7 linked regions of the Coturnix japonica genome follow. The protein of the gene in region 1 interacts with the protein of each later gene in a biochemical or structural test. Links are inferred from orthologs where the notes say so. Each region holds a gene or a part of one and is shown in the gene's direction. Other genes may lie near its edges.

The links.
Region 2: of the proteins of SNCA (region 1) and NEDD4, one has a biochemical effect on the other in vitro, tested with the Homo sapiens proteins (3 studies listed by BioGRID). The link is inferred for Coturnix japonica from reciprocal best matches to the Homo sapiens genes SNCA and NEDD4.
Region 3: of the proteins of SNCA (region 1) and NEDD4L, one has a biochemical effect on the other in vitro, tested with the Homo sapiens proteins (3 studies listed by BioGRID). The link is inferred for Coturnix japonica from reciprocal best matches to the Homo sapiens genes SNCA and NEDD4L.
Region 4: the proteins of SNCA (region 1) and ENSA form a complex in vitro, tested with the Homo sapiens proteins (2 studies listed by BioGRID, with this or other methods). The link is inferred for Coturnix japonica from reciprocal best matches to the Homo sapiens genes SNCA and ENSA.
Region 5: the proteins of SNCA (region 1) and YOD1 form a complex in vitro, tested with the Homo sapiens proteins (2 studies listed by BioGRID, with this or other methods). The link is inferred for Coturnix japonica from reciprocal best matches to the Homo sapiens genes SNCA and YOD1.
Region 6: the proteins of SNCA (region 1) and CRYAB form a complex in vitro, tested with the Homo sapiens proteins (4 studies listed by BioGRID, with this or other methods). The link is inferred for Coturnix japonica from reciprocal best matches to the Homo sapiens genes SNCA and CRYAB.
Region 7: of the proteins of SNCA (region 1) and PLK2, one has a biochemical effect on the other in vitro, tested with the Homo sapiens proteins (2 studies listed by BioGRID). The link is inferred for Coturnix japonica from reciprocal best matches to the Homo sapiens genes SNCA and PLK2.

What each region holds. Positions count from the first base shown.
Region 1 is NC_029519.1:31,233,867-31,237,366, reverse strand, and holds the end of SNCA (alpha-synuclein), read left to right. Parts: intron 1-1,177; coding exon 1,178-1,267; intron 1,268-2,706; coding exon 2,707-2,739; 3' UTR 2,740-3,333; downstream 3,334-3,500. UniProt on the Homo sapiens protein: Neuronal protein that plays several roles in synaptic activity such as regulation of synaptic vesicle trafficking and subsequent neurotransmitter release.
Region 2 is NC_029525.1:6,722,655-6,726,154, forward strand, and holds part of NEDD4 (E3 ubiquitin-protein ligase NEDD4), read left to right. Parts: 5' UTR 1-961; coding exon 962-2,482; intron 2,483-3,500. UniProt on the Homo sapiens protein: E3 ubiquitin-protein ligase which accepts ubiquitin from an E2 ubiquitin-conjugating enzyme in the form of a thioester and then directly transfers the ubiquitin to targeted substrates. Specifically ubiquitinates 'Lys-63' in target proteins.
Region 3 is NC_029547.1:603,835-608,033, forward strand, and holds the start of NEDD4L (E3 ubiquitin-protein ligase NEDD4-like), read left to right. Parts: upstream 1-1,399; 5' UTR 1,400-1,623; coding exon 1,624-2,781; intron 2,782-4,199. UniProt on the Homo sapiens protein: E3 ubiquitin-protein ligase that mediates the polyubiquitination of lysine and cysteine residues on target proteins and is thereby implicated in the regulation of various signaling pathways including autophagy, innate immunity or DNA repair.
Region 4 is NC_029540.1:1,835,794-1,839,740, forward strand, and holds the start of ENSA (alpha-endosulfine), read left to right. Parts: upstream 1-1,147; 5' UTR 1,148-1,252; coding exon 1,253-1,309; intron 1,310-1,581; coding exon 1,582-1,707; intron 1,708-3,619; coding exon 3,620-3,790; 3' UTR 3,791-3,947. UniProt on the Homo sapiens protein: Protein phosphatase inhibitor that specifically inhibits protein phosphatase 2A (PP2A) during mitosis.
Region 5 is NC_029541.1:2,847,228-2,851,282, reverse strand, and holds the start of YOD1 (ubiquitin thioesterase OTU1), read left to right. Parts: upstream 1-1,255; 5' UTR 1,256-1,317; coding exon 1,318-1,525; intron 1,526-1,692; coding exon 1,693-2,393; 3' UTR 2,394-4,055. Other genes in the region: PFKFB2 (6-phosphofructo-2-kinase/fructose-2,6-bisphosphatase 2), read right to left, coding at 207-303, 393-518, 949-1,012. UniProt on the Homo sapiens protein: Hydrolase that can remove conjugated ubiquitin from proteins and participates in endoplasmic reticulum-associated degradation (ERAD) for misfolded lumenal proteins.
Region 6 is NC_029539.1:5,449,303-5,453,524, forward strand, and holds the start of CRYAB (alpha-crystallin B chain), read left to right. Parts: upstream 1-1,422; 5' UTR 1,423-1,625; coding exon 1,626-1,823; intron 1,824-1,899; exon of another isoform or gene 1,900-2,833; intron 2,834-3,368; coding exon 3,369-3,491; intron 3,492-4,222. Other genes in the region: HSPB2 (heat shock protein beta-2), read right to left, coding at 1-7. UniProt on the Homo sapiens protein: May contribute to the transparency and refractive index of the lens. Has chaperone-like activity, preventing aggregation of various proteins under a wide range of stress conditions.
Region 7 is NC_029547.1:19,439,763-19,444,010, reverse strand, and holds the start of PLK2 (serine/threonine-protein kinase PLK2), read left to right. Parts: upstream 1-1,448; 5' UTR 1,449-1,537; coding exon 1,538-1,771; intron 1,772-2,074; coding exon 2,075-2,182; intron 2,183-2,358; coding exon 2,359-2,475; intron 2,476-2,663; coding exon 2,664-2,793; intron 2,794-3,075; coding exon 3,076-3,163; intron 3,164-3,600; coding exon 3,601-3,696; intron 3,697-3,919; coding exon 3,920-4,118; intron 4,119-4,212; coding exon 4,213-4,248.

The sequences.
Region 1 (3,500 bases):
CTATTTAATCTTCCCTCATGTTTATTCCAAATAGTTGTTTATCAAAGGAAAGAAAAAGTCTTAAATCCAGTTCTCGCAGTGAAAATACTATTTCTTCAGTATGTAGTGCTCACTCCATGCCCTTCATCTCCTGTTAAATTAAGGTAGTCATTGGGAATCATCAAGGGAGCATGACAAATACTGTGGTAAGGTAATGATGTTTTAATGCCACTTTTTTGCATATTATTTTGTATTTTCTGTTAAACTGGCAGAGGTGAATTTCCAGTTTAGTTGCTCTTTTATTTGTTTTTATCTACATCCTAAATTTAATTTAGCGTAACTATCCTATAAATTACGAAATTTGAAGAATTACCTCATTAGTGTTGTTTGTGACAGACTTAATTTTGTATTTCTTTCCACACTACTAGCCTCAGGACTGCTTGTTTTTTTAGTGATTCCCTTCCTGAGTTTGTTAGGGTTTTTCTAGTACATTTCTGTCTAGATTGGTAACTGCTATAAATTAGTTCAGTCAGAATAGTTCCAATGAGATCATCTTCTGGTTTTCATATCAATTTTCTTACAGTTTAGGATGAACTCTAGCAGTCTTTGTTCTGGTAAAACTGTTACTTCTTCTATGTGACCTTCTGCATTAATAACCCCTACAGGGATGGTGGAGAGGTGGGAGAGGTGGATAGAAATGCTTCTTTAATGGTCAATAACAGATCTCTAAGAAAGAATGTAAGAAGTTGTGTCATGTGTCATAAGTATACTGCATAGAGTAAGGTGCTACTCGACATAATAAAGGATATAAAAATATGAATCATTAAGGGAAAAATGCTTCCCAATATCATTAGGTTCTAAAACTGTAGGAAAAAAGACAACAACATGCAATAACTTATAGTTGTTCTTCCTCCTTTGGCCACTTTGAAATGTAATATGAGAAGAGTAAAAACTATAAAATGAAATAAAGGATTAGGAGGGTGAATTATCTGCCAAAAACAAAATGCATAATAGAATTACCATTTCATTTCTGTGTCTTGATACTACCCAATCCCTTTTGGCCTCCTCTTACTTCTACATGCATTTATAGTCATTATCCACTGTGTGGGGAGGAAAGAAGTGCTTTGGAATAAATGAGAAGGCAAGAAGTTGATCTGACACTTTATTACTTTTTTTTCTCTCCATGTTTTAAATGTAGAATGAAGAAGGTTTCCTGCAGGAAGGAATGGTGAATAATACTGATATTCCTGCGGATCCTGAGAATGAGGCTTATGAAATGCCTCCAGAGGTAAATCTGTTGTGGTATTTGCTGTTTGTGTCCACAGGAGAAAGGCAAAGATAGGATACTGAATGCTGGAGTTGCATTAGTGTGGCATAGGCTGATACCATGAGCTGCAGGGTCAAAGGAGAAATAAGTTTGTGGCCAAAATCTCTCTGAGGTACAGTGCAGGGGGAGGGGGGAAGAAAAAGGGGAAAAAAAATTAATTTCTTGAAGTTTAATGAGAAAATATTATCTTTGTTTCAAAACATGCATGTTTCACTTTCTGAGTAATCATCAGTAACTTCTATTTGATACAGGTTATGGGGAGAAACTTCTACTTCTCCATAGATTCTTTTAATAGGTTGGACATTTAATGTGTTTTTTTGGATTGTGCTGGAAGTTGCTCTGAGTGTAATAACTAAAATTATAGGAGTAAATTATTGAGGGTTTTGAGCTAATCCTGATTATGCTCTCTGAAGCTTTACAACAATACATGATACTATGATTCATCAGCATTTGGAGTGGCAGTTTTGCAGTAGTGCAGATAGTCAGGCTGAAAACCAGAGGTGAAAACATCTAGAACTAGATCCAGTGAAGAGTTAAATAGATACCTGATCTCTGATTGCTGTTCAGGTTTCCAGAGTATTTGCAGCACCTGGTGTGCTGTTCAGAGGTTCTTCTTTAGTTCTAAGTGAGTTGGCATGCATTGTCTCACAAAATTCTCACTATGTCAGTGGGGACCAGAAGAGATCATTTTGTAGTTCCGAGTGAGCTGAACCAAGTCCTGAAGTCACATAGATAATGAGCCTGAAAAAAAGGTATGCTAACAGCACAGAGATTTAGCTGCCTCTAGTGTTTCAGTAAACCACATAAGGCCTGAAGTGTTTTGCAATGAGCTTTTGTAAAACATCTTGCACTCCTGATCCTTCAAAAAGAGGCTCATTTAACTCACCATAAGCAGACTGAGGAGCCCAGTTACGTGCTTTCAAGTGTCTGTGATCTTCATCACTGAAGAACATGTCCAATTGTTTTGCTGGATGCCAGCTGAAATGTAGCAGCTTGCTTTCACCCACATGAATGGGTTTACAAAAAAAATCATCATTTTAAAAAGGCTAAAGAGTAGTGTAGGTAGACTTCACACACAGGTGTTTTTTATTTATTTTCCCTTTCTTCATTATGCTTGCTCAGAATCAGTCACAAATTCGTTGCTGAAGTCTCTGTGATAACTGAGTGGTATGTTAACCACTGCTAAATCTTATTCTCCTGTTAACACCACACTTTGTCAAATAGAGTATCTGGAAAATGTGACAAAACAGTAAACACAAGACAAGTTTCTCATCACATAAAAATCCATAATATTTTTTCACTGCACATACTGTGATTAGCACAATCAGTAGAAGTTAAAATATATATGTTAGGATGTATTTATTTGAAATAGTAGCACTGATTTCTGCTCTCCTTCATAGGAAGAGTATCAAGATTATGAACCTGAAGCATGAGAAATCTTTTCTTCCTTTATATCTCCTGAAATCTACTAACAAAGACGTCCCATTCTGTACAAGTGCTGAGTTCCAATGTGCCCAGTCGTAAAATTTTTTTACAGTTTTTACAGTGTATTTTGAAGTCTTCCATCAGCAATGATTGGAGTATCTGTGACTGCATCCACCTTGTTTCAGCATTTCCCTCCTGCTGAAATGAAAGCTGGTTGGCAGGGTCATTGTTGTGCTGTGGATATTGTGGCTTCACTTTTAAAAGTTAAAAACAAAACACTAAATAAAAACACCTAAGTGTCTACTGCTTCTTTCTAACTCTGTACATGTTTTGTTGATAGGCTGTCAGTACTTTGATATTGTTTATGATACAATTTTTATTTGTTTCCTATGACTATTATTTCTGTGCAGAAAAGACTTATTGTGAAAGCTTTATGTAAATGTGTATGTATTATATATATAAAAAAGTAACTGAGCATGAACTATGCACCTATAAATATTAACTGTTGAAATTTTATTGTTTTGTGATGTGTTTTATTAACTTGTGTCTGTAAATAATGGTGTTCAACTGAAGCAAATAAAATGTAACCTGTTAAAAATGAATTTCAAGGGTAGTAGTCATTTATGACGGCTTATTTTCTCTCCAAGAGCGTGCATTGAGGAATTCAGGCTCCCTGAAAAAGCATGGGGGGAATAAAAGAAGCAAACAAGCCTGTTCTATACAAAAAGCAGGGTGAAGAATGTGAGTATCAGGACTGGCCTTACAGTGC
Region 2 (3,500 bases), on another chromosome or scaffold:
TCCGCTTATTCTGGGCTTCCAGCAAACAAGATGGTACTTTGCTTTGCACTGTAAGAATATTTTGTTTCTTTCTACCTTCAACAGCTGTAATTTGGAAAGGTTGAAATATATTATTTAACATGGCAGTCTGGATATAAGCACTGAATTATTAATCAGAGTATCTTGTTGCACTTCGAGTTTAGAGGCGTCTCACTAAAAAACATTAACTAATTGGTAGGAGACCTTTTCACTACGTGGAAATCTTTGCAAAGAGTGATTGGTTAAACAGAATGCAGATTGTTAGGTAATGCCAGGTTTCTTTCAAGTTTTGTTTAAATAGCCTAGAAAAACTTTTTTTAAGGAGGAGGGTTATTTTGCTGGTTTATGCATAAGTCAGACCTCAGCAGTTTGCTAGCATGGCTACTATTTGGAAATTCAATCCTAGACTTGATACTCAATTATATGGGATTTCATTCCTACCAACTTCCTGTAATTCTAAACCTATGGGTAAAAATATTAGTAGTCATACGCTGCTGGGGAAAGTACGGACACATTGACTCAGCTAGTGCAGCTGCAGCAGAAGCTGCTGTTTTAAACTTGGAAGTGCTGAGAGGTTATTATTATATTCATATATGCAAATTACAGAAGGTATAATCGAAACAAGGTTGATAGTGTTTGTCAGTACGTTGCAGCTGAGGTCGCTGGAATGTAAGTGCTTTATAAATGAATGCTTTCTGACTGCGAGCAATCAAAGACGGTCCAGAAACTGCACTTCAACAAATGGCTGACTGATTTCAAGAGGTACAATATCTTTTTTCTTAACACTACTATCCTGTAGAAATTAGGACAAAGCTTGCAACTTCTTTTATGGGCTTTTGCTGTTGTGATGCACTAGCTCCAGGTTCTGTGCAGCTGCCTGTAAACTTTCTGCTGAAGGATCTTTGTGGTTTTAATTTGCTAATATGCATGGAAATGAGAACAAATGGCACGACGGTTAAGACTGCATTTTGCAACCCAAAGAAGGAACACGGATCTGTTACCGGAAACCTCCGAAGATGTTTTGAATAGTAACAATCAAATGTACTTCAAAAAGGCACAGAATTCTGAACTTAATGGTATACAAATGAAGCTGGCTTCTAGACAAGTTGCTTGTGCACCTGTAATGCAGCAAGTAATTAATCAAGAGGGAAATGCAGCTATTTCTTCACTGCAAAAAAAAAAGAGCACGTCTCTGCACATTTCTCTGCAATCTAGAAGGCATAATGAATGTTTTCGGTCTGGTGATGCTGCAGCTGCTGGCGAAGATGCTTCATTCATCAGTATTTGTAATGAAGGAAATTATGGCATCAGAACTGTGGTTGATCATCAAGCTAACGATAGCCATCTGAGCAATACTGCTGTGTGCATCGGCAGTCTTAACAGTATTGCAGCCAGTGACAATGGGTCCTTCAGCAGTGCTGGCAGCGACTATGGATCATGTGCAAGTACCACGAGTGATGGAGGTTCATATAGTAACAGCGTCATCAGTGACAGCGGCAGCGGCACTCTCTCCACAAGCGATGGTTCTTTCTGTTGTAGTGTTGTACATGGTGATTCTTCGTATGGAAACACTGCAAACAAATACAGTCCATACAGAAGCAGTTCATCTCAGGAGGAAATAGAAGTGTGTAGAATTAACCCTGCTTTTGACCAAGAAGCTGTGTCGGTGAGGAAGAAAACCAAAGTTCCGCTGCGGCGGTGTTCATCATTGGTAATTTTCCCCAGAAGCCCTTCCAGTACTCCTCCAGCTACTCCAGTAACCTCAGGTCAGATGCCACATAGAGGTGCCTATCAAACATCACATAAACTAATTATTTCTCCTAGTGAGCTGGCACATAAGGAAGATCAGACTGTTTCTAAGGGATTCCTTTCAACAGCAGTCAATGGACTTCGACTGTCTAAAACAGTTTGCGCATCTGGTGAAGCTAGAGACATAAGACAGCTTTACTTGCAGACATCATTACGGGACAAAAGTCGAATTTTGAACAGTTCTGAGCAGACAGCTCGTGAAGAAATAGCTGACAGATTCTCATGCATTTCAGTTCATCTGACTCCAAGAGCATTTGCATCAAGCAGTGAAATGGTTAATGGCTGTTGCAGTCAAGAGTTAAATCTGAACTCCACTACAAAATACCCTCCTTTAAAACTGGCACGCAGCACATCTGCATGTTTACCCTCAAAAATAGATTCAGAATACCAGATGAATATAAACGAACTGGAAAGACCGAATGCACAGATGAGCAAAGCCCACCATGTTTTGCAAAGAAGTGTTTCGTTGGAAGGATCGCGTCAGAAAGTTTCTTGCTGTTTATCCAGTCTTAAATACAAGTGTCATAATGCAAGGACGTCTCAGTTGCACATACAGTTCAGACCTGGGAACGAAGGAAAAACAAGTGGTGTTAAGAAAAGATATGGAACCTCTAAAAGGGAAATATCCAGCACTTCTTTGTGGAGGCCCCATAAGGTGAGTGTTCTGACTTATAGAAAAATCAGTGTTCTGCAGCTGAAACTAAATTATAAATTTTAAATAATAACATTTGTAATCAAGATTTTAAACACAGCTATTTCAGGATTTCTTAATGTTGTCAGACTGTCATCATTGGGCAGGTTAATTTTTATATTACCCACAACACTCATTTTTTTAGATTTGATTCTTAAAATATGGTACTGTTTTTGGTGAATTTGTCATATAGGGAAATATCTGTATTTAATATATTATACACAATTATTTCCTGCTTACATGAACCCAAAGGGATTTTCTTGTTTAAATAACTTCAATGTCTAAATGCCTAAACTTCACTTTTGTAAAGTTTTAAATACGTAACTTTCCAGCTCAATTATAGTAATGATTAACATTGCATATAAAGTTGGCAAAAATGAATAAATTGCTATAAAGAAGGCTTTCAGGTTTATTTCATATAGGCTTTATTCTCAGTATGGTTTACTTTATGAGAGATTAAAGATAAGTTATATTTGAACAGAGAAACTGTAAATACCATTTGTTTCTGTATACACCCTGAACCACAGGAATTTTCAGTTTCCTTTCCTTTTTTTTTTCCCCCTTCCAACCACTTCTTCAGTCTGAGCAGCACGCTGTAACTTAATCTCTCTCCCAACAACATTGCTGTCCAAATTATAGTACTCGGCTCTAGAAGGTTTATATTAAATATATTGTTTGGTAATGAAGCTTACATCGAACTGAATTTCCGGAGGGTTTGATCTTATTAACTCTTGAGGCATTTTCTATTGTTAGTAAAGCATAAACCATATGAAATGTGAATACTAGAAACTGTTATAGTGAGGTTGTGGAGACTTGAACAAGCTGAGTATTATTAACTGTTTTTAATTGTGAACTCTGGAGAAAGAGCAATAATACTTACAAAAGTTATTTCATGTTTTAAGACTACACTGTCCATTAATTTAAATTACTGTGGTCTTATAATACTTGTTGAAGCAATGGGTTTTAGGCCAAAGATCTGACA
Region 3 (4,199 bases), on another chromosome or scaffold:
TATCCTTTCCTTTCTCTCCCCCCATAAGAGCAGAGAATACGTGGTGTGTCTTCATCTTCAGATAAAAAAGAGACTATGGAAAATGGTGTACCTGAAAAATAAGATAAAATCAACACTTGTGCTTGCACAAGACAGTTCCACAGCACTGTGGCTGTGTAGAAGCTATTCATGTTTTTCTTCTTGTTGGCTCCTGGTCCACTTAAAACAATAGGGGATTGTGCTGTCTGCTGGCAGTTGCAAGGTTTGAAGCTTCCATTTGTCTTTGATTGGTCACTTTATGTCTTTTGAGAGCAAGCCGCATGGAAACAGAGGTTTAAACGTCTAGACAGAGCACTGACCTGCCACCGATAGTTTGTTGACAGCACTTCTCAGTGTTCTCCTAAGGAACAGATGTCTGTACATTGAGCTGATCCTACGCTGTCTCTTCTTGTAGATGTGCTTTTAGCTAACCGGGTGCTTCCCCAGCATGTGCGAACCGTTGCGATGGCGGGCGCCCTTCGGCTGCGAGGATCCCCCAGTCACCAATTTCCTGCATTGCAGTGGAGCATATTCAGGGTGTTTGTTCTGCAGTTGGATGTATCCTGCTGGTCTGTTCTGCTTCTGAGGTCTCTTGGCTCTCAGAGTGTAACTGTATTCCGTGCCTGCGATCACGCCCATGGTAGAATTGCTAACTTTCCCACTGGAGGCTGGCCAGTAAAGGGCAGAGTTTCTGTGCGCTGTTTAAGACAAATCGGTACCAAACGGCAATGCGACACCCGTCTCTGGTTTTCTCTCGTCGTTACTGCCCGGTAACACTGGAAAAGGAGCTTTGCCTCCTGTCATTTTGCGCATTTCTCCTGTTTCTACTGAGTGAGAAATCTTTGCTGTGCATAGGGCTGCTTTGTTTGCTGTAATTTTTACTGATTAAAAGGGGCTGTGTGGGCTCACTTGGGCTGCATTGCGCTCCTAGGGACAACGTGAAAGTTGTGGCTTTTTAAAGGCAAGGAGCTTGTTACTTAACCGTGCTATGAGCACAGTTAAAATTGAAAGCGTAACGGTGCTATATTTACTCACGTTCTGCCATGATAGCCTCGTGCTGTAACACACACCAAAAAGTTAAGCTTGAAATATTGTTCCTTATTTGCATGTGGCGTTGACTTACAGCCCTAACACCGAACCGTTTGTGTTGTCGTTAACTTTCCGTGCGCCCTGTGCGAACGCGCCGTGCGGGTACGAGATGAGTTAGATTTATAGCGGCGCCGAGTGTGCTCGCTGCCTCGGTCAGCTGCGCCCTGATGGAAAAGGAGCAGCTGGGAAGGTGCTGTTTCAGGCTCTCGCTGGCATTAAAAAAAAACAACAGAACCCCCACTGGCTTAGATTGGAGAGGGGGAACCGGGCCACGTGACCGCCACCATCCTACCCCATGTCACTGTGTGTAGGAGTGCTGATTGCTCTTACCCAATCATGCCTGGAATGCTGCTTGCCACTTGGGCTATTTCTGCTATCTGTCGCTATCAGTGCTGCAGTGCTAACAGTTTGGCAGATGGGACACTTTTTCTTGGAGTTTATGTCTTTGGTTTTTAACTTCTGGCAGCGCCTGAATTGTTGCCGTTCTCCCTCTCCTTTTCTTCTCTCTGTAAAACCATGGCCCATCGGCTGCGGTTTCATTTTGGCTCTGGGCGAAGCAACACAGCCCCCGAATCCGAGATCCTCGACCGGGAGAGAGAAGATGAGATTTTCATGGCATTCCACACTTTGCCGAGAAGAAGCAGCCCTCACGCTTTCTCCCGACACGGAGCAGATTACGGCGGTGGCAGCGATTTCCAAGAAGTGGGCTCCTTGAAAAGGAGCACCTCCATGTTTATTCCCCAGCTGCTGAACAGCATCAGCGCACGTCCCACCAGGAGCTCCTCCATGCAGATCTCTCTCCAGCGCAAGGCTGCAGATGAGTGCGCGACCCCGGAGACCCCCAAGGAGACACCCCTGAGCAAGGCCTCGGATGTTAGGGAGCATTACGTGTCTCCCGTTGAAAACCATTCATCCTCCCGGAGTAGCCCAGAGGTGGCTCCTGATGATTCTCCACCCAGGCAGACAGAGGAGTTGGGGCAGCAGATGAATGGCACTCTTCGCTGTAACCGTAGGATATTCCGTACTATTCCTCCTAATAACCAGAGCGACGATGCTCTGTCCACTGCCCATGAGAATGAAGCAAAGGAAACACCTTCAGGTTTGAACTTCAGCGGCGTGAGGATTCAGCATCGTGCTTCAAGTGCCGATGTGCCTCAGGTTACTCTGTTGCCCTATGGTTCCGAGGCTCAAAATAATGCTCCCACCCCCGAGCCCCGGCGCTGGTCTCTGCAGCATGTGCCAGACATGTCAGCAAATGCAGGGAAAAAGTTCTTTGTTCTCCAGTTACAGCAGCCGCAGGCAAGTGGTAAAGGTGGCGAGTATAACTTTGGCTTTACTGGGACAAAAGGGGATAGATTGGTCAGGTACCCGCGCATACAGCTGGGGAGGAGCGCTTCCTACCCTGTGCAACCACGGCCAGAGGAAATCCGCCCTGCAGGTGAGGGACTGACTTCAGAACTGCATGGAAACAGCAGGAGCGGGTCAGAAATATCCAGAAGCAATTCAGTAGAGAAAATTCCTCAAGGGAAGGGATGCCTGTTTAAAATCAGACCAGATCAAAACACGAGACAGCAGCACTTCAGAATCCTTGTCACCCGTAATCCCGAGGAGCAAAGTCCAGTGGTTGGTACAGAATGTCGTGGCACCCCTGGTCCTGCAGCAGCCAGCACCGCGGTGAGTAAGATGCTGAGTGTGCTCTGCTAACACTGTACAGAATTGCCATGCAAAGGCTTTTAAACCTGAGGCAACTGGACGGCTCCCTTGTTAGTGCTAGAACATTCGCTGTTTCTCTGGAACCAGCCACTAGTGATCTCTGTTTCAGATCTGCTTTAGCTTTGTCCTCGGCTGTGGTTATGTGCGGTGTAATATTTTGAGATCCTAACGTCACATGTTGTACATAAGATTCTTTTAAAATCAGAACAACCAAATGGCAAATTAAGGGATCATGTTTAATTAAGGATTAAGGAATTCTTTGTGCACTTCGTAGCCTGAAAACAAATGCTTTGATAAAGCCTAAGGATAATGTGCATGTTTGTACCCCTGTGGCTTTAAAAATGTGCATCGTAATGCAATAGGAGCTAAAGTGGTAGAAATCTCATGGTAAGTCTAATGAAGGTAACGGCCTAGCAGGTAAGGTAACAAAAAGTTAGGGGGAAAAAGGAGGCGTTAGGGTGTATTTTTTCACTCGCTTTTGGCCTTCTCTAAGCTAAGGGTTTGTCCTGTTTTTTTGTGTGCCACAAGTCCTGATCAAACAACTTGGGAAACTGTGCTGTCAGTTCTGTTTGCGTTGGTTTTACTTTCAGGTGCCAGGATTCATCTTCTGGTCCTGTTATAACGAATGAAGTCTGAAGTTTCATGTTTTTAAGCCATTTTTGAAAGACCAAAGCAGGAATGAAAGGGAAGGGTTTAGATTAGTCATTTGCTTTAAACTGCTTTACTGTGCAATTTAACACTGCCCACTTGAGTCCCTGAGCTCAGTGATGCTGTATATAGAATAGCAAGTGCTCTGTCTCCAGCTGTGAAAACAGATTCACTGGGAGAGATTTGGGTCTTCGCTGCCTGTGTTCTCATTCTGCTGCGCTTTTGTTCAGTGAAATGCAGTACGGAGAGACAGCTGCTCACTGCAGCAAGGCCGTATGATGACTCTGCAGCTTTCTTGTTGAGAAGCTGGCATCTCCAAGCTATTCTGGTGTAGCCTTCTTTTGAGCCCTTCAGTCGTTATTATGCATAGAAAATCACAAATTACAGCCAAGTGTTAATAAAAATACACAGTGAAAAAGATTCTTAAACAAAGAAGTACAGTTTCACTTCACTTTCTGTCAGCTAAGCAGCTCAGTAAGTAGTGCACAGTCTCTGTCCTGCTAGCCTAGAACATTTCAGCAGCAAAGTCTGGAGTGAAGAATCTTCCTTGATTTTTCTCCTTCGTTTGAATCTCACTGGTGCAGTACATTGCGTTCCACTGTGTTTTATCTCACACTAAAAATGTATGTGTGGTTTTCCTGCTGATCACTGGGTACTAGCAGTTCTTGGAGGACCACCATAGCTGGCTGTATCAGTCAGTGCAGTCAGGCAGCCCCAGTAGAAGCACTGGC
Region 4 (3,947 bases), on another chromosome or scaffold:
CCTCCCTGCTGTATTGGGTTAGGGTTAGGGTTGGGGTTGGGTTAGGGTTATGGGTTACGGTTAGGGTTAGGGGTTAGGGTTTAGGGGCTAGGGGTTGGGGTTAGGGTTAGGTTTAGAGTTCGCCACCTCCTCTCTGCTGTATTGGGTTAGGGTTAGGGTTAGGGGTTAGGCTTAGGGTTTGCCTCCTCCTCCTCCTCCCTGCTGTATTGGGTTAGAGTTAGGGGTTAGGGGTTAGGGTTAGGTGTTAGGGTTAGGGGTTAGGGTTATGGTTAGGGTTTGCCTCCTGCTTCCTGCTGTATTGGGTTAGGGTTAGGGTTTGGGTTAGAGTTAAGGTTAGGGTTGGGTTAGGGTTAGGGTTTTGGGGCTAGGGGTTGGGGTTTGGGTTAGGTTTAGGGTTCGCCTCCTCCTCCCTGCTGTATTGGGTTAGGGTTAAGGTTAGGGTTAGGTGTTAGGGTTAGGGTTTGGGTTCGCCTCCTCCTGCTGCTCCCTGCTGTATTGGGTTTGTGCCCTGGTTCTTCAGGGGCTGTGTGTGCCGGGGGTGTCTCTGTGTCAGACCAGGAGGGAAAAGTTTACACTGATTATTTGTTTTTTATTCCTGTTTTTGTTGTTTTTTTTCCCCCCCTGGGAATTTTGAACACGTTCCTTTCCGTCCTGCAGCCCTTCTCTCAGTGCTCTGCCTTAATGCTGGATCAGCTCCTCTTTCCTTTGAATTTGGGGTTGGGGGAAGCGGTGTCAGTTCCATCCCGGGGCCTTGAGGCGCTACGGGAGCTTTGGGGGTCGCACAATGTGGGGTCGCACAATGAGGGGTCGCACAATGTGGGGTGGGGGCGGGGGGCGCTGCGAGTTGCGGGGCCGCGTGTCCTGCAGTTCCTCCTCTGCCCGCCAGGGGGCGCCGCTTCAAGGTTCTACCCAGCTCCCGAGCTTTGGCCACGCCCCCTTTCCCCTATTGGTTCTTCCCGCTGTCTATCAAACTTTTGGCCACGCCTCCCGCCCACCAGGTGTTCTCTCACTTCCCATTGGTTCCATAAGCTTCACACGGGTTGGCCAAGCCCGGCCCTTTTCCCCACCCCTCGCAGCTCCTCATTGGTCGTGTGTGACGTCACTACGGCCTCCTGGCTGCTCCTATTGGGCAGCCGCCTGTCCGTCACGCAGCCGGGCCGTCAGGGGGGCGGTGGCGGCCATTTTGGAGCAGAGCTCGGGGCTGCTCGGCGCGCACGGAGCGACGCGAAGCCGCAGGGCCGCCCGTCCCGCCATGGCCGCCCCGTTGGGAACCGGCATCGTCACGGAGCACTGCGGGCACGAGAAACAGGTGAGGAACCGCGTGCCGGGCCCTCCCTCTTCCCATTGGTCCGGCAGCGCGCCACTCTTCCTCGCCTCGCTCAGCGGTTGGCTCCCGTCGTTGTTTCCGTCGTTGTTCTTCTAGGCGCTCATTGGCTGCCGTGTGGGCGCGGGGGTGGGACTTCCGGGAGAGGTGGAGGGGGTTGTGGGGCCCAGTTGTGCGGGGCTCAGTGCGGAACCGGCTGCGGGTGGGGACGGAGCCCCGCGTTATGTTACACTGTTACAGGCCCCGCTGCCTTTCAGGACCCGCAGGACAATGAAGCCGCCATCCCGGAGCGGGTTGAGGAGGCGAAACTGAAGGCGAAATACCCCAACCTGGGCCAGAAACCCGGCGGCTCCGACTTCCTGATGAAGAGGCTGCAGAAAGGGGTACTTAGAGCCGTGATCTCCGTACAATGGGCCCGGGGTGTCACAACAGCACTCACAGCATCACAGAGATGGGGGGGGGCCGCCCTGTGCCCCCCTTGTCCTGTCCCCCCTTGTCCTGCCCCCTTTCAGCTCCTGATCTCAGCCCCACAGCTCTCATCTGTTCCCCATCAATTGTTCCATACCCACTTGGAGGCTCTCCCAGCACTTCCCACTCTGCTTATAACTACAGTGGAAGAGTAGTACCCTAAACCCCAAACCCTAACCCTAAACCCCTAACCCTAAACACTAACCCTAAACACTAACCCACTTCAACTGTAAGATTAAGGTAAGGAACCTTACTCCACTCCCCCCAGGACAGAGTAGGGGAGCATCGCCCTGCCCCGTGCTCTGGGCATTGCACCCAGGGTCTCATTAGCTCTATTGGCTGTTAATTACACCCAGGGTCCCATTAGCTCTATTGGCTGTTAATTGCACCCAGGGTCTCATTAGCTCTATTGGCTGTTAATTACACCCAGGGTCCCGTTAGCTCTATTGGCTGTTAATTACACCCAGGGTCCCGTTAGCTCTATTGGCTGTTAATTACACCCAGGGTCTCATTAGCTCTATTGGCTGTTAATTGAACCCAGGGTCCCATTAGCTCTATTGGTTGTTAATGTAACCCCGTATTGCTGGTCCTGGTGCAGCCCCCTCGCTGTTTGCACAGCTCTTTGTGTGCTGCCTTGCTGACAGGTCATGTTTTAGGTCCCAGCTCCTAAAGCAAGCACAGAAATGAGGGATTCATCCTTTGGCACCAAGTAGGGAAAGGGCTTTAGGGCTGGGCTGGGCTTTGTGGGGCCCAAAAAGCTGTTGGCAGCATCACTAGATACCCTGGGATGGAGGAGACCCACAGGGATCACCAAGTCCAATTCCTTTCTCCATTCAGGACTGCCCAGAGTTCAAGCAGGATTTCTCAGAGCACTGTCCAAACTCTGCTCGTCCTTTTGCCCTTTGCTCTGCTGTCAGCAGGGCAGAGCAGCACCATGGGGTGCACGGAGTCATGGGCGAGGGAGCGGGCTGCCCTTCGCACCACAGCTCAGCACTGATGGGAGCTGTCTGGGTGCCACATCTCTGCAGGCATTTGGCTGCAGGAGCCTGGCTGGGCTGTGGGTTGGGCTGGGCTCATTCTGCCTTTGTCCCACAAGCTCTTTTGTCTGCCAAAGTGGGATCAGCAAATGTCCCCCAGCTGCGTTGCTGTAGCTGAGCCTGTCTGGACGAGGCTGCTGACACAGCGTCTGCCCCGCAGTCACTGTTAGGATCACAGAATGGGTTGGAAGGGACCACAGAGCCCCCACAGCCCCATCAGTGCTGTGGGCTCAGACACAGTCACTGTTAGGATCACAGAATGGGTAGGAAGGGACCACAGAGTCCCCCCAGCCCCATCAGTGCTGTGGGCTCAGTGCCCTCCCACCAGCTCAGGCAGGACCCACACTAATGTGAGCAGCAGTACCAGCATGGCAACGCTTCAGGGTAAAGAATTTCCGCCTCATATCTGACCTAGATCTCCCCTTGTTTAGCTTCAAGCCATTCCGTCTTGTCCTGTTATTGTCTGTGTGTGTAAGAAGTCGCTCTCCTATGTGTTTATAAGCTGGAAGGAGAGGGGACAGGTTATAAGCTCCCTTCAAGTAATGGAAGGAGAAGAGACAGGGGTGTAGGCTGCTGGCTGGGATGAGACACCTGAGCCGTACTGGGTGTTGTGGGGAGCTGCTAAATAAAGGCCCAACAGTTGCCTTGGACTTTCCCCTTGTGTGTTGTTCTGGTGATAAGTTGGGTATCAGCCATCGCAGCTTCTTAAAGGTGTGTTTATAGCTCAGTGTGCAGCTCGGCCGTCCTGCAAAGAGCTTCAGAGTAACCTGAAATCCTTCTCTTCTTCCAGCAAAAATACTTTGATTCCGGTGATTACAACATGGCCAAGGCGAAGATGAAGAACAAACAGCTGCCGACTGCAGGGCCGGATAAGAACCTGGTGACAGGAGACCACATCCCAAAGCCTCAGGACCTCCCGCAGAGAAAATCCTCACTCGTGGCCAGCAAACTGGCAGGGTAGCCCGCATTCAAGGGCTGTTTTTTGGGTTGTTTTTCTCCTCCCCCCCCCTTTATTTTCTTTGTTCTTTTGGTTAATTGGATTGAACTTCACTGTACCATAGAGCTGGGAGCACCAGAATCCACTTAGTTATATGAGTATTTCTAGCAAACACGCAGCA
Region 5 (4,055 bases), on another chromosome or scaffold:
TGCTCCAAGCCCCTGCTTCCTTTCCATCTAGTTCTGATGCCAACAACATTCCCACGCACCCAGAGATCCTGCCAAGGGATCCGTGCACTGTACTACCTCCTTCCATGGCATTCAATGTTATTTGGTGCTACAGAAACACACAGGCTGCCAACCCCGAGCCTAAGCAGACCACGGGCCATCTGTGCAGCCCTGCAATGCCAACTCACTTGCGGATCTCCATCGCTTCCTTGTTATCATGCCTGAAGAAGTCATAGGATTTGTAGGACTTGACAGCTTCCCGGCGATACACCCCTAAATTGAACACTTGGGACAGAAAGCAACACAGTGCTGAGATGGGAACCCACCAACACCCTCCCACCCGTGTTAATGGGGCTGTGTGGGCGCACACACACCTCGGGTGGGCACCCCGATCCAGTTGAGGTAGCGAGTCAGCTTCTTGGAGATGTAGGTCTTCCCCCGGGCTGGCAGCCCGATCATCACGATGAGGGTGGGCGAGTTGGTCATGTAGGATGCCCACGCTGCAGGGGAATGATAGCATGGAACCCAGTGCACAGATAGAGCTACATAGACAGAGCCGGCCGTCCTGCAGCTGGCACCTGGCTCCTAATGAGTGCTGCAAGCAGTGTTAGCTAATGAAAGTGATTAGCAGCGGCGCACCTGCTGCAATTAATGGAGCTAATGCAGCTCTCGGCGGGGCAAATATTTACCCAGCAGGTGCCGGCTGACAAGGGCAGGAGAAAAATGGCTTGAGAATGGAAGAAAACATGGGTTCAAACAGATGGTCACGAAAAACAGGAGGCAGCAGGGCTGCAGCGATGGGCTGACACTGCCAGCAGCACCAAGAGCACCGGGATAGCGAGTCAAACCCACGCGTGGGGTGGGAACCTAGTATTCTGTTAAGCAATAAGACAACCATAAGCTCTCCATGCACGGTTACACGGTACTTACAGCACTTCTTCTCCCCTCCCCGCTGGGCCCCGGCTCTGCCGCCGTGCCGGTACGTTGCCGCCATGGCTCCGCGCCGCCGCGCTGCATGCAAATGAGATGCAAATCACACCCCGGCAAGCGGGCGGGAGAACGGCTCTACGCCACAACCCGCAGCGCGCCCTGCATGCAAATGAGATCCACACCGGCCGCGGCGCGCGCGCGCGCCCGCTTTGGAGACAACCACGATTGGCCGCGGCCTGGCGCCAAATGAAACAGCAGCGCGGGAAGAGATCTCGCGAGATCCAGCGGGCGCTGGGCCGGGTGAGGAAGAGGAGGGGAAGGAAAGGAGGAAGGAGAGGAGGAGGAGGAGGAAGGGGGGCGGCACCGACCATGTTACGGCTGCGCTGCAAGGCCCGGAGCGGGACCCAGCTGTTACCCGGCCTCACCGCACACACCCGGCTCAGAGACATGCAGGCCGCTTTAGCCGCCATCACCGGCGTCCCCGCCTCGGCACAGCGGTTGTTGCTCGGTTTCCCACCTCGGAGCATTGATCTGAGTGATGGAGAGAGGAGGCTGGGAGAGCTGGGCATCCATTCGGGTGAGGCCTAGTTATTAGGGCTGTAATTAGTCTAATTAAGTGAGGCTGTGGGTGCTCACCCCCCATTGGAGGTGCTTGAGAGCCATAGACATACAGCACTTTGTGTTCTTTGGGGATGGGTTGGTGTTAATCTGCCTCTATACTCATCTCACCCCTCTCTCTAACAGGAGACACGCTCATAGTGGAGGAGGATACATCTAAACCCAGTGCTGGCTCCCCAGTGGTGACCAAGAGAACCATGGAGGTGATGGAAGCGCTTCCAGTGTTGGCCAGGAGGGTGGTACCGGCTGATAACTCGTGTCTATTCACCAGCATCAACTACGTGGTGGAAGGAGGGGTGTACGACCCCGGCTGCGCTCCTGAGATGCGTAACCTCATAGCACAGATCGTAGGCAGCGACCCCGAGGCGTATTGTGAAGCTGTGCTGGGGAAAAGCAATAGAGAATACTGCGACTGGATCCGGAGAGAGGAAACGTGGGGGGGAGCCATCGAGGTTTCTATTTTATCTAAGTTTTATCAGTGTGAGATCTGTGTGGTGGACACACAGACGGTCAGAATCGATCGTTTCGGGGAGGATGCCGGCTACACCAAACGGGTGCTGTTGATCTATGATGGGATTCATTACGATCCGCTCGAGCGTAAGATCCTCGACTCGGACGTTCCTCCCCAAACCATTTTCTCTACCACTGATGATGTCGTCCTCGCACAAGCTTTGGAATTAGCAGATGAAGCCAGAAGGAAGAGGCAGTTCACCGACGTGAATCGCTTCACTCTGAGGTGCATGGTGTGCCAGAAGGGACTGACGGGACAAGTAGAAGCCAGAGAACACGCCAAGGAGACGGGACACACCAACTTCGGGGAGGTGTGACTCCTGTATGAGGATGGTTACATCTACTACCTCACTCATCCGGAATAAAATTCTGGATCTCCAGATAAGCTGTATTTAATCACAAAATTCCGTTCACAGAGCTTGAAAAGCGTGTTAGCTTAACGATGGCCGAGGCGCACAGGTTTGGTGTTGGATAGGGATTTATCCAGCTGGTTTGAAATGTAGGTTATCTTCTCGCATGCTGATTTAGAGTCACTGGGCAGGTGATGTACACTGGCAGCTAAAACCTGATGACTGTAATAACCTTCTCTTTGAGTGTGTGCTCTGAGTGGCCATACAGAACCAGGCTTGTTCAATACTAGTGTAAAAAAAGCGAGCCTCTAAATCACTGTTTTATGTTGTCAGGGTAATTAAATTAAGGGTTTAGGAAATGTACGTATCAGCACTATTTATGCTCATAAATAGACTCTGCGCATAGAAGCAGCCCTTCCAAGGGGAACTGCTCGTGGGGTGCGCAGTATATAGTGGGAAGAGCATCCCTAAAGCTGCCCTACACTATGTTACTATCAGAAGTAGAATGTATTGTTTGTGTGAAGTCACGGCTTTAGAGAGAGAAGTGGCCTTTAAGCTTTAAGATAGCCTTCTTAAAATTAACGAGTAGGTGGTTAAGTGTTGAATAAACTTATTAATCCTCCATAGGTAGCTTTTAGTTGCTTGGAAAATAACTATCCAGCCCCTTGGTGTTTACACTGCATTGGAACGTAGGCATGTTACTTGGAATACTTGGGTTCTTCTTCACTTTATCTTCAATTCTGGCAGGAGGGAAATACATTCATTAGGGAAGTATCTTAATTTGCATCTCTTTAGTACATCGGAATGGTCTTCATTTGGCTGTAGCTGATCTCACAGCCACAGTGTTACTAAGCTGTAGCAGATTCCAAATACTGTAAATTAGCACTTTAAGGTATAGTTCTCAGTTGTGTTTGCTGGTAAGAAGTCTTATAGAAGCAAGGAGTAGTAATCCAGAAGGGAGGCTGGAGGTTTCTTCATCTGCATTCTGCCTTAATGTGTTTGATTTGTCACCGATGACTGTTGAGGAGCAAGGCTTATAATTCAAGATAATGAAGGATGATGCAGTTGAACTGTCAGAACAAAACAAGCTGGGTGAAGTGCCCTACTTCTCATACTGCTCCGAATCAGGGAAGGTGGAATTGATTTCATCAACCTTACCTCACAGCAAGGTTGTGAGCTTAACAGCAAGTGCTTTGAGGTCTTTTAAAAGGTGCTGTATAGGTGCGTAGTACCGAAGGGGATTTATTTGTTTCCTTTGTAATGCCTGTAATACACATTTGTTTTAAGGGATTTTACAATGTTCTTAGCCTTCTATCACACTGTTTCGAGTTACCTCTCTTGCTCTTCTACAAATGGAGAGCAGGAACGTGCATCTTCAGTTTGAGGCAGAAACAAACCTGCTTTCCAAATGGAATCCATCTTAGCTCTGAAGGCCTCCATTCATTGAAGTTCTCACTGAGTTGGACCTTGAAATACTGAGAGAATCTCACAGGAAATCGAGCGTAATCACATCAAGTGCTTTGAATTGAGGCAAGAATAATTAAGGATAAAGAATAGGATTGCCAAAAGCACTACAGACCAATTTTCTTTTTATTTCAGTATTAAAATACACGTTCACACTGTTGGGGA
Region 6 (4,222 bases), on another chromosome or scaffold:
TCCTCATTGCATTCCTGTAGAGCTGCAGGCTCTGACTGCCGGCGGGGTGCAATCCTGCACCCCCTGGCTCTCCACCTTGGGCAGGGAACAAGAGGCAGGAACAGGGCACCCAGCACTGCCCCTGCCAACCCAGCAGGGCACAGGGCTATGCCTAATGGTGGCTGATGCTTGGTCAGGTTGTGTGCAGTCATGCAAAGTCATCGCTGTGAGTTTATCGCTCATATCAACCCCACAGAAAGGGATCTGTTTCCCCCAGAAGCTGAGTCTTTTGTTCCTGGGAGTGGTAAGGTGCTGCAGACCGCTAAGTGGCACTGAACAGGGTGCAGACCATGATGCTGACACTCCAGAACTGTGCCACTGTGAGCCAGCTGACCAGGCTGTGCCTTGGCCAGGGCTTCAGTGCTGCTCAGTGGGACCAGAGAAATGCCTGTGCTGGAGGTGGTGCATTAACCAGAGTCTGAAACTGGCCTAGATCCACTTTTACTAAACTGGGTGTTAGTACCCATTTAAGCTCCTTGTACTCTGAAACCAGAGATTTCCATGTCTCTGCAGTGCGAGAGAGCAGGTGCACTACTGCTGACGTAACATGGAACTGGATAAAGTATTTATGGCTGGGGCTTCTGCAGAGAGAATTCTACACCCTAATCTTGCAGGCAAGTGAACAGGAAGAGAGTCGAGCCCTTTTGCAGGGGACCGGTGGTGCTAGCAGTGAGAATCATGTGCCCTCAAGCCAGAAGTCTGTATTTAAGTTGCAGATAATCAGAGCTCTTGTCCTTAAAGGACAGCTGCTGGGCTGAACCCAGCCTCATGATCTGAACTGATAGCTGCTGGGCACAGGCAGATCAAGGTAGTTTGCATCCCAGAGAAGGCAAGCAGTGGTGCAGCTCTGCAGGGCTGCTGTGTGCCTGCTTTATCTCTGCTCACAGGGTGCTGGGCTCTTCTGCCCTCTCCAGCAGAGCGATTTCTCGAGTGGGCAAAGGACAAGAGTTGTCAGCTGATGCTCTGTGGAAACCATCCTTAGTGTGCACACACCAGCAGGTGCTCAGGTATGGTGCTCACCAGGCTGCAGAGCTGCACACCAGGGTACCTCAGCACAGACCTTTTGGGGTCCATGTTGCCCTCTCATTAAGGCCTGGGGCTTCCTTCACTTTAAGGGAAGGCAGAGCCCTTCCTTGGCGCGTGGGTGCAGTGGGGAACTGTAGCCTTGGTGCCGTCACTGGGAACAACAGTCCCTTGTCCTTTTCCATGTGAACCAAAGATAGGAGCTGCATTGATCCTGCTGGCATCCAAAGCAGCTGGGAACATCCGCCAAGCCTGCCTGGGACTCAACAGATAAACAGCACGTGGGGTGCAGAGAGGGTGGCTGGGCAGCTTGGCTTCTTGCTGTCCCATTAGTGTCCTTCTTCTCCCCTTCCCCCTCCTCCTTAGCAGTCTGTTCAAACCCCCGGACGCTCCTGGGCACTGCTGAAGGGACCAGTCCCGGACTGGGACAATAAAATCCCTGACACCACTATTTGAGAGGCCTCGGGGGGAGAGGCCCCGCCAGCCGCACGGGTATAAAGCTGCCCCCTGTGCTGGGCACAGCACCGCAGCAGTTGTTTGCTTGGCTCCTCTGTCGCACTCCGATGGATATCACCATTCACAACCCCCTGATCCGCAGACCTCTGTTTTCTTGGTTAACACCGAGCCGTATCTTTGACCAGCTATTTGGAGAGCACCTGCAGGAGTCAGAGCTGCTCCCTACGTCCCCCAGCTTCAGCCCCTTCCTGATGAGATCCCCCTTCTTTCGGATGCCCAGTTGGCTGGAGACGGGACTCTCAGAGGTAATCTTCCTTGCTTACTGTTTCTTGTTACCACTAGGTGCACATCCTGACGGGTCTGGAGCTGGGGACCCGGGAGAGCTGGGACACTGCTTGTAGGTAGTTAATAGGAAATCTATTATGAGGAAAAGAGTGCTGAGTTCTTGCCTCTGCTCCTTGGTGTTAGGCAAGGACCTCTGCACTCTCTGCTAATCACTTGTAACTGAGAGCAAATATTGCCACAGCCATGGGCACAGAGACAAACTGAGCTGTGTGTGTGCTGTGAATGACTGTAGAAGCCAGCAAGAGAAAGGAGGAAGCCTGATTTCTCTGTCTGCCCTGAAAAATTTTACATTCTGCGTCCTCCTGAGAAGCAGAGGGGCAGTGGGACCCCGTGCCAGGCAGCATGGGAGCCCCCAGATGCTGAGTAGAAAGGCCCAAGCTAAAGCATCTCTGCCAGGCAGAGCAGTGTTTTCAGAGAGATATGGGATGGGAGGACCTTTAAATGGCCATCTGCTTCGGGGGCTGAGGCACGCAGCTCAAATGACTTTGCTCAGCATGCAGGTCAGATGCCAATGTGCAAATAACTTAAAGAGTTACTCAAAGCCAGTGGAGTGAGAGGGAAGTATTTTCTTAATCTTTGCTTAATGTTTCCCTTGGTTTAGTCACCTGGTCTGGTCATATGCTGAAGCAGCCATAATAAGCACCACAGGTAACAACATCAACATCTGACTTTTTCAGTGGAGAAATCTTCACAGTAATCTAGCAAAAGGAGCAGGAAGCCCTCCAGGTAAAACTGAGGAAACCAGTAACCAGAAAGCTAGAACTGGCATGGAAGCTGCCTCCATGTCCCAAAACAGAGCTGCAGGAGGCTCGCGTTTTCCCTGACTGTGACTGCAGCAGGAAGGCAGAGACAGCCAGCCTGCATTGCCGTGTCCCACTGACTTATCCAAGACAGGCAGAAAATGCAAATTCAACCTCAGGAGCAAGCAAAAAGCAGCATTTGCTGGAGATGATAAAGTGCAGAATGGAAGGTAAGGATGCAAGATGAGCAGCAGGTGACTCAGAGTTTCAGCAGTAGCCCTGCTGCTCAGATAAGAGGGGTGAGCTGGTAGTGCTGCTCAGCTGAGACACGCTATTTTTGTTTTTAAAGAGTGACGACGCAGGGGAAAGCCTGCAAGTGACACAGATGAGCTGCAGCCAGCTGCACACTCTGTTTCTTTTTCCAGAAAGACTTAGCAAAATCCAGCTGCAGAGACTGGAAATCTCCAGACACCTCAGAAAAAGTAGATAGGAGTCAGTTTTAACAAATTCAGATTGAGAAAGTCTCTTTCTTATTTCCCAGAAAATATCTATTCTCTGTTTATCCAGAGAGAAAGCATCATGTTTTATGTGCTGTAGTGGTGGGCATGAATGGAACAGGCTAGCAAGAGCCAGATGAGAACCCCAGGACTGAAAACAGGAGGTCAGACAGTGCGTGTGGGGAGCCCAGCGTGAGCGTGACTTGCTGCATGTTGAGAGTCTGATGAAGCTGAAACCTCTGCCTGAAGTCGTCTCCTTGTTTTACAGATGCGACTGGAGAAAGACAAATTTTCTGTAAATCTTGATGTGAAGCATTTCTCCCCCGAGGAGCTAAAAGTGAAGGTGATTGGGGACATGATAGAAATTCATGGGAAACACGAGGAGCGCCAGGTACTTCTGTGTCACTGTTAACCAATGTGTGCTTCTTCACCTATGGTTAAACAAGGAAGCTGCAGAACAATCCTCCTCTGTGCTCTTCTGAAACACTTCCAGTGTTTTTGATCAACCAGTCCTAATGGAAGATGCTCTATGCAAACCCCCAGCTGATCCCAGACTGGGCAGCAGCAGAGTGGAGATTTAGTGCTGGTATTGCATGAACTGTGAACTGAACTGGAAAATCAACTTTGAAATAAGCATTTCCGGGCCTCCCTCTTTCTGGAAGAGGACAGGAATGCAGAGAAGCATTCAATAAGTTAACAATGAGCTGTAATAATTAAACCGCATAACGAATGAATGCATTGCCATGTTCCATTAGCAAGAAGCTATCTCTTCTTGAAAAAATACCCATTTACCAACTTACAGTCCTTAAAGGCTGTACTCTGCTGTCAGCCATCCCATTGCTTACTGGCTCTGTGGCAAAAGGTCAAAGAGAGGCCAAAAGCCACGTCCAAAGCTGTATGTAACAGGGATTACCTATCCTCCTATCCTTGCAAGAAGGAAACAAATCCTAAAGTACCTGTATCATTGTACCCATCAGCTCCAAAACTTCTGGGTGCCCAGATCTGTCAGTCAAATGCAGCACTACTCATAGACACTGGAAGCCTGTAATTCTGAAATAGCTTCTGCGGGGTTTTTTTTGTTTGTTTGTTTTTTGTTTGTTTTGGCTAAGAAATGAATCCAGA
Region 7 (4,248 bases), on another chromosome or scaffold:
GCACAACAGACCAAAGCAATTTAGTGACAGAAAACAAAGAACCGTGAAATTATTTTTAACGTTAAGCAACTTATCTCTACTTATTTTTCAATTATTTATACTAGTTTGGACAAATGTAAGTTGTGTGATGGCAATACTGTTGGCCTGGAAAGCCAGTTGGTGAGGGGCTAAGGGAAAAGCTGGCATAGCACCGAGGAGTGAAACCTGGGTATCTTGAATTTTAACTTGTTTCTGTTTTTGTCCCCCACCCCTTTGGCTCAATTCTAACAATACTATCATGACTTTGGAGAGAGGAAAGAGACGTCTATGCAGGGGGAGCACGTGGCCAGAGCCTAGATGCAGATGTGCAGACCATGTAGAGTCCACACAACCAAGTGTATGTGCACCCAAGCACTAACTTCATAAAGCAATACTTATTACTTGAGTATATATTACTGTTATTTTAAGATCTGAAAGAAATGCTCAGGGGAGGATACCATACTCTTTTATATGGTCATGTGCTTGGATGTTAATTTGTATGGAATTAACTGGACTTCTGTTTTCACCAGCACAGTAAGCAAGCAGATGTACTCCCAGTGTGTACGAAAAAGCAAACTCCTTTTCAGAAATGAACAGGAACTTTCACACTTTAAAACTTTCCTCTCACGTGGACCTTTCACTCTTCAAGGACCATTTCTTTTCAAACATCTGTATCAGAGATCAAGGACTGTGCACCCCAGTTTCTAATGTGAAGTAGGGAGAAATTTTAATGTCAGCTGCAAAGCAGCATCCTGGAAGGGGGGAGAGAGTGTTGCAGGAGGTGCTTCCAAGCAGCTATCCTTCTGCCCCCGGCTGCAGCCTTTTGGTGCCATGCACTGCAGTACTGCAAGCAACTGATCACAGGAGAAGCTCTGGGCTGCTGGGAGGAGGTGTCTGGACAAAGAAGAGAATGGGATGTGATGCTTGAAATATCTTTGGCAAAAAACAAAACAAAAGTAAGTGGGATGAGACTTGCTGCCCAGGACAGCCTGCAAGCTCAGTGCAAAATGAATGCTGCCGTTCTGACTAACAGACGAGGGCTGCCCTATATGGCAAAAGTTCCGTTGTCTTAGAGGTGTGTTTAGGATGTCTGAAGAAACGTCTTTGTCCGTGAAAATAAAACATCAGTGCTGCCTGTATCTGTCCCTCTGTCAGACGGCTCCGAGAGCGCGGGGATGTGGCTGGGCAGCGAGATCTCCCCATGTGAGCAACAGCGAGGGCAGCAAGGCTCGCACAGAACTGGTTTCCTCTTCGATCCGGGGGTGGCTGCGGGCGGCCGCAATGCCCTCAATGCTGCCTCCGAGTCTGCATAGGGCTTCTGTCCCAGCTCTGGGCCGTGCCGGGCCGCTCTGAGCATCAGGAGGCGGGGCCGAGCCGCTGGGCGGGGCCTTCCTCGAGATATAAGGGCGAGCCGTGGGTTGCTCGGCGTTGTGTGAGCGCCGGGAGCGGGGTGGGGAGAGGAGCTGAGCGGAGCTGAGTTGTGCGGCAGGTGGGAGGCGGGCGGGACGGCGACGCGGAGATGGAGCTGCTGCGGACCATCGCCTACCCGCCGGGAGGCAGCGGAGCCTCCAGCAATACTGCTGCTGCCAGGGGCTGCGAGGCGGCCGTGGGGAGGGCCAGCAGTGCCGAGCCGCGGAGAAAGAAAGCAGAAGAGCAGCCCCACCAGCACGCACACCCTGCCGCCGAGGTGTCCCGGATTATAACCGACCCCGCGACGGGGAAGCGCTACTGCCGCGGAAAGGTGCTCGGAAAGGTAATGGCCGGGTCTGCGCCTGCAGCCCTGCTCCCGGGGTCTCCGTGCGTCTGTCGCGGCCGCGGACATTCTCGCCCGTACTCCGAGCCCGTGTGTCCTGAGCCGGCGGGGAGCGTTCGGGTGTGCGCTGTGCGACCGTCGCAGCCCTTCGGGAGGGAGCTCTGAGCACCTCCGCGTGTTAGCCGGCTGTCCTGCCCGAAGGAAGTTATGCTCATTGACTAATATGCGACCTGGTGAATGACTCAGTGCGGGGCTTCTTTCCTACCTGCTCTAATGGCTTTTTTTTCTCCTGTGTTTCTTCAGGGTGGATTTGCCAAGTGCTATGAGATGACAGATTTGACGACGAATAAAGTTTATGCTGCAAAAATCATTCCTCACAGCAGAGTAGCGAAACCTCATCAAAGGGAGAAGGTGTGTGTGCATGAACGATTTTTTTTTATTTTTTTTTTTCCCCTCAAACTCGCTTTGTGTGCTGGTTGCCCAACCCTTTTCCTGGAACAACTCCAGCAGAGCTGTCTGTTCTGCGCTTCCCAGGCTTGTGGTCACACGGCTAACAATGCTTTTTTCCTTCTCTCTTATCTCACCAGATTGATAAAGAAATTGAGCTGCACAGAATGCTTAATCACAGACATGTTGTTCAGTTCTACCACTACTTTGAAGACAGAGAGAATATTTACATTCTTCTGGAGTACTGCAGTAGAAGGGTGAGCATCAGCTGGGAGAAATCCAGTACTTACTTGCCTGGAATCTGTAATTGATTTAAAGGTATAATGTGTAAAAAGTATTTTTCAGGGCTTCTCTAGTTCATCCATGCATTAATTTTTGTGTACTTGATGTGAATTGTTTGTGTGAATGCTGAGTGACACGTCTGCCTTTGTTTTTTCCTCTGCAGTCAATGGCTCACATCTTGAAAGCACGGAAGGTATTGACGGAACCAGAAGTACGATACTACCTCAGGCAGATTGTGTCAGGGCTAAAGTATCTTCATGAACAGGAAATCTTGCACAGGGATCTTAAGCTAGGTAAGTTCTGTTCCTCGACAACTTCTAAAAATACATACTTTTCCAGCCCTGTCAGCCTTGTGTCACGTTAAACTTGTGTGCTGATAGCTTAATTAATAGCTTAGTCTGCCTATACAGTGGGAAGCTGGAGTGTTTGAGAAATGGTATTAAGTATCCATACTTTAAAAAAAAACAAACCAAAAGTCTTGGGTAGCTTCTGGTTTTGAATAAAGTATGACTCAGCACCTGTGGCAAATGCATTCCTGCTTTGCAAGGAGACTAACCAGAATTTCTTTCTGCTAGGTAACTTCTTCATTAATGAGAACATGGAACTGAAACTAGGTGACTTTGGCTTGGCAGCTAGGCTGGAACCACTGGAACACAGGAGGAGGTAGGAGCATTAAAGTAAAAAAAAAAAAAAAAGTGTATTGTAGTGTACAAAACCAAATTCACTTAGAAATGAGGGATGGAGATAGAGAGATCCTGTGTCAAAGGAAGAGCTAATTGTGCTCTGGAATCAAGATTTCCCCTTCTAGAAAAGTTTGCTGTGTTTTGATGTTTGCATTCCTCCTCTCAGCATTTGAATAATAGCAAATGCCTGAGGCAGGATACCTGACTAATAGTGCAGATATGAGTCTGCTTTTCCTGTATCATGAAGGCACTGTGAAACGTGTCTATGCTATTAGCATTCATAAAAGTCCTCTTTAGGAGTCTCTGAGCTCTTGCCTGAACTTGAGAGTAAAACCTGCCCTATGAAAAATAGCTTCTTTCCTTTTTCTCCCTGAGCTCCTACCCTAACCTGCCTCTGTGGCCTCTTTGATTTTACAGAACAATATGTGGCACACCAAATTACCTCTCTCCAGAAGTCCTCAACAAACAAGGGCATGGCTGTGAATCCGACATCTGGGCCTTAGGCTGTGTAATGTAAGTACTTTGCTGCCTTTGAAATAAAATATTTCTGTCGTTGGCTTAGGCTTTTAAGAGTTCAAAGGAAATGGATACAGTGCTGTGTTGGTTTGCAGCCCTTTCTAGATGCCGAACCCAAGTGCCGAAGTTCTCCTTACTAGGGGACAGATAAAATGTGTGCAGTGGTTGCCAGCTTGTGTTATGGGTGCACAAAATTAAGTTGGCTTTTGTTTTTCAACAGGTACACGATGTTGTTGGGAAGACCCCCATTTGAGACCACAAATCTTAAAGAAACATACAGATGTATAAGGGAAGCAAGATACAGTCTGCCTTCATCTCTCTTGGCACCTGCAAAGCACTTAATTGCTAGCATGCTGTCAAAGAATCCAGAAGACCGGCCCAGTTTAGATGAAATAATGCGGCATGATTTTTTTGTACAGGTTTGTCTTATTTAATGTTCTGGCTTAAACCTTATCTACCCTTACAAATGCACCCTGTGGTTTGAAAATTGCTTTTTGAATCTCATTTCCACAGGGCTTTACACCTGACAGACTTTCTGCTAGCTGTTGT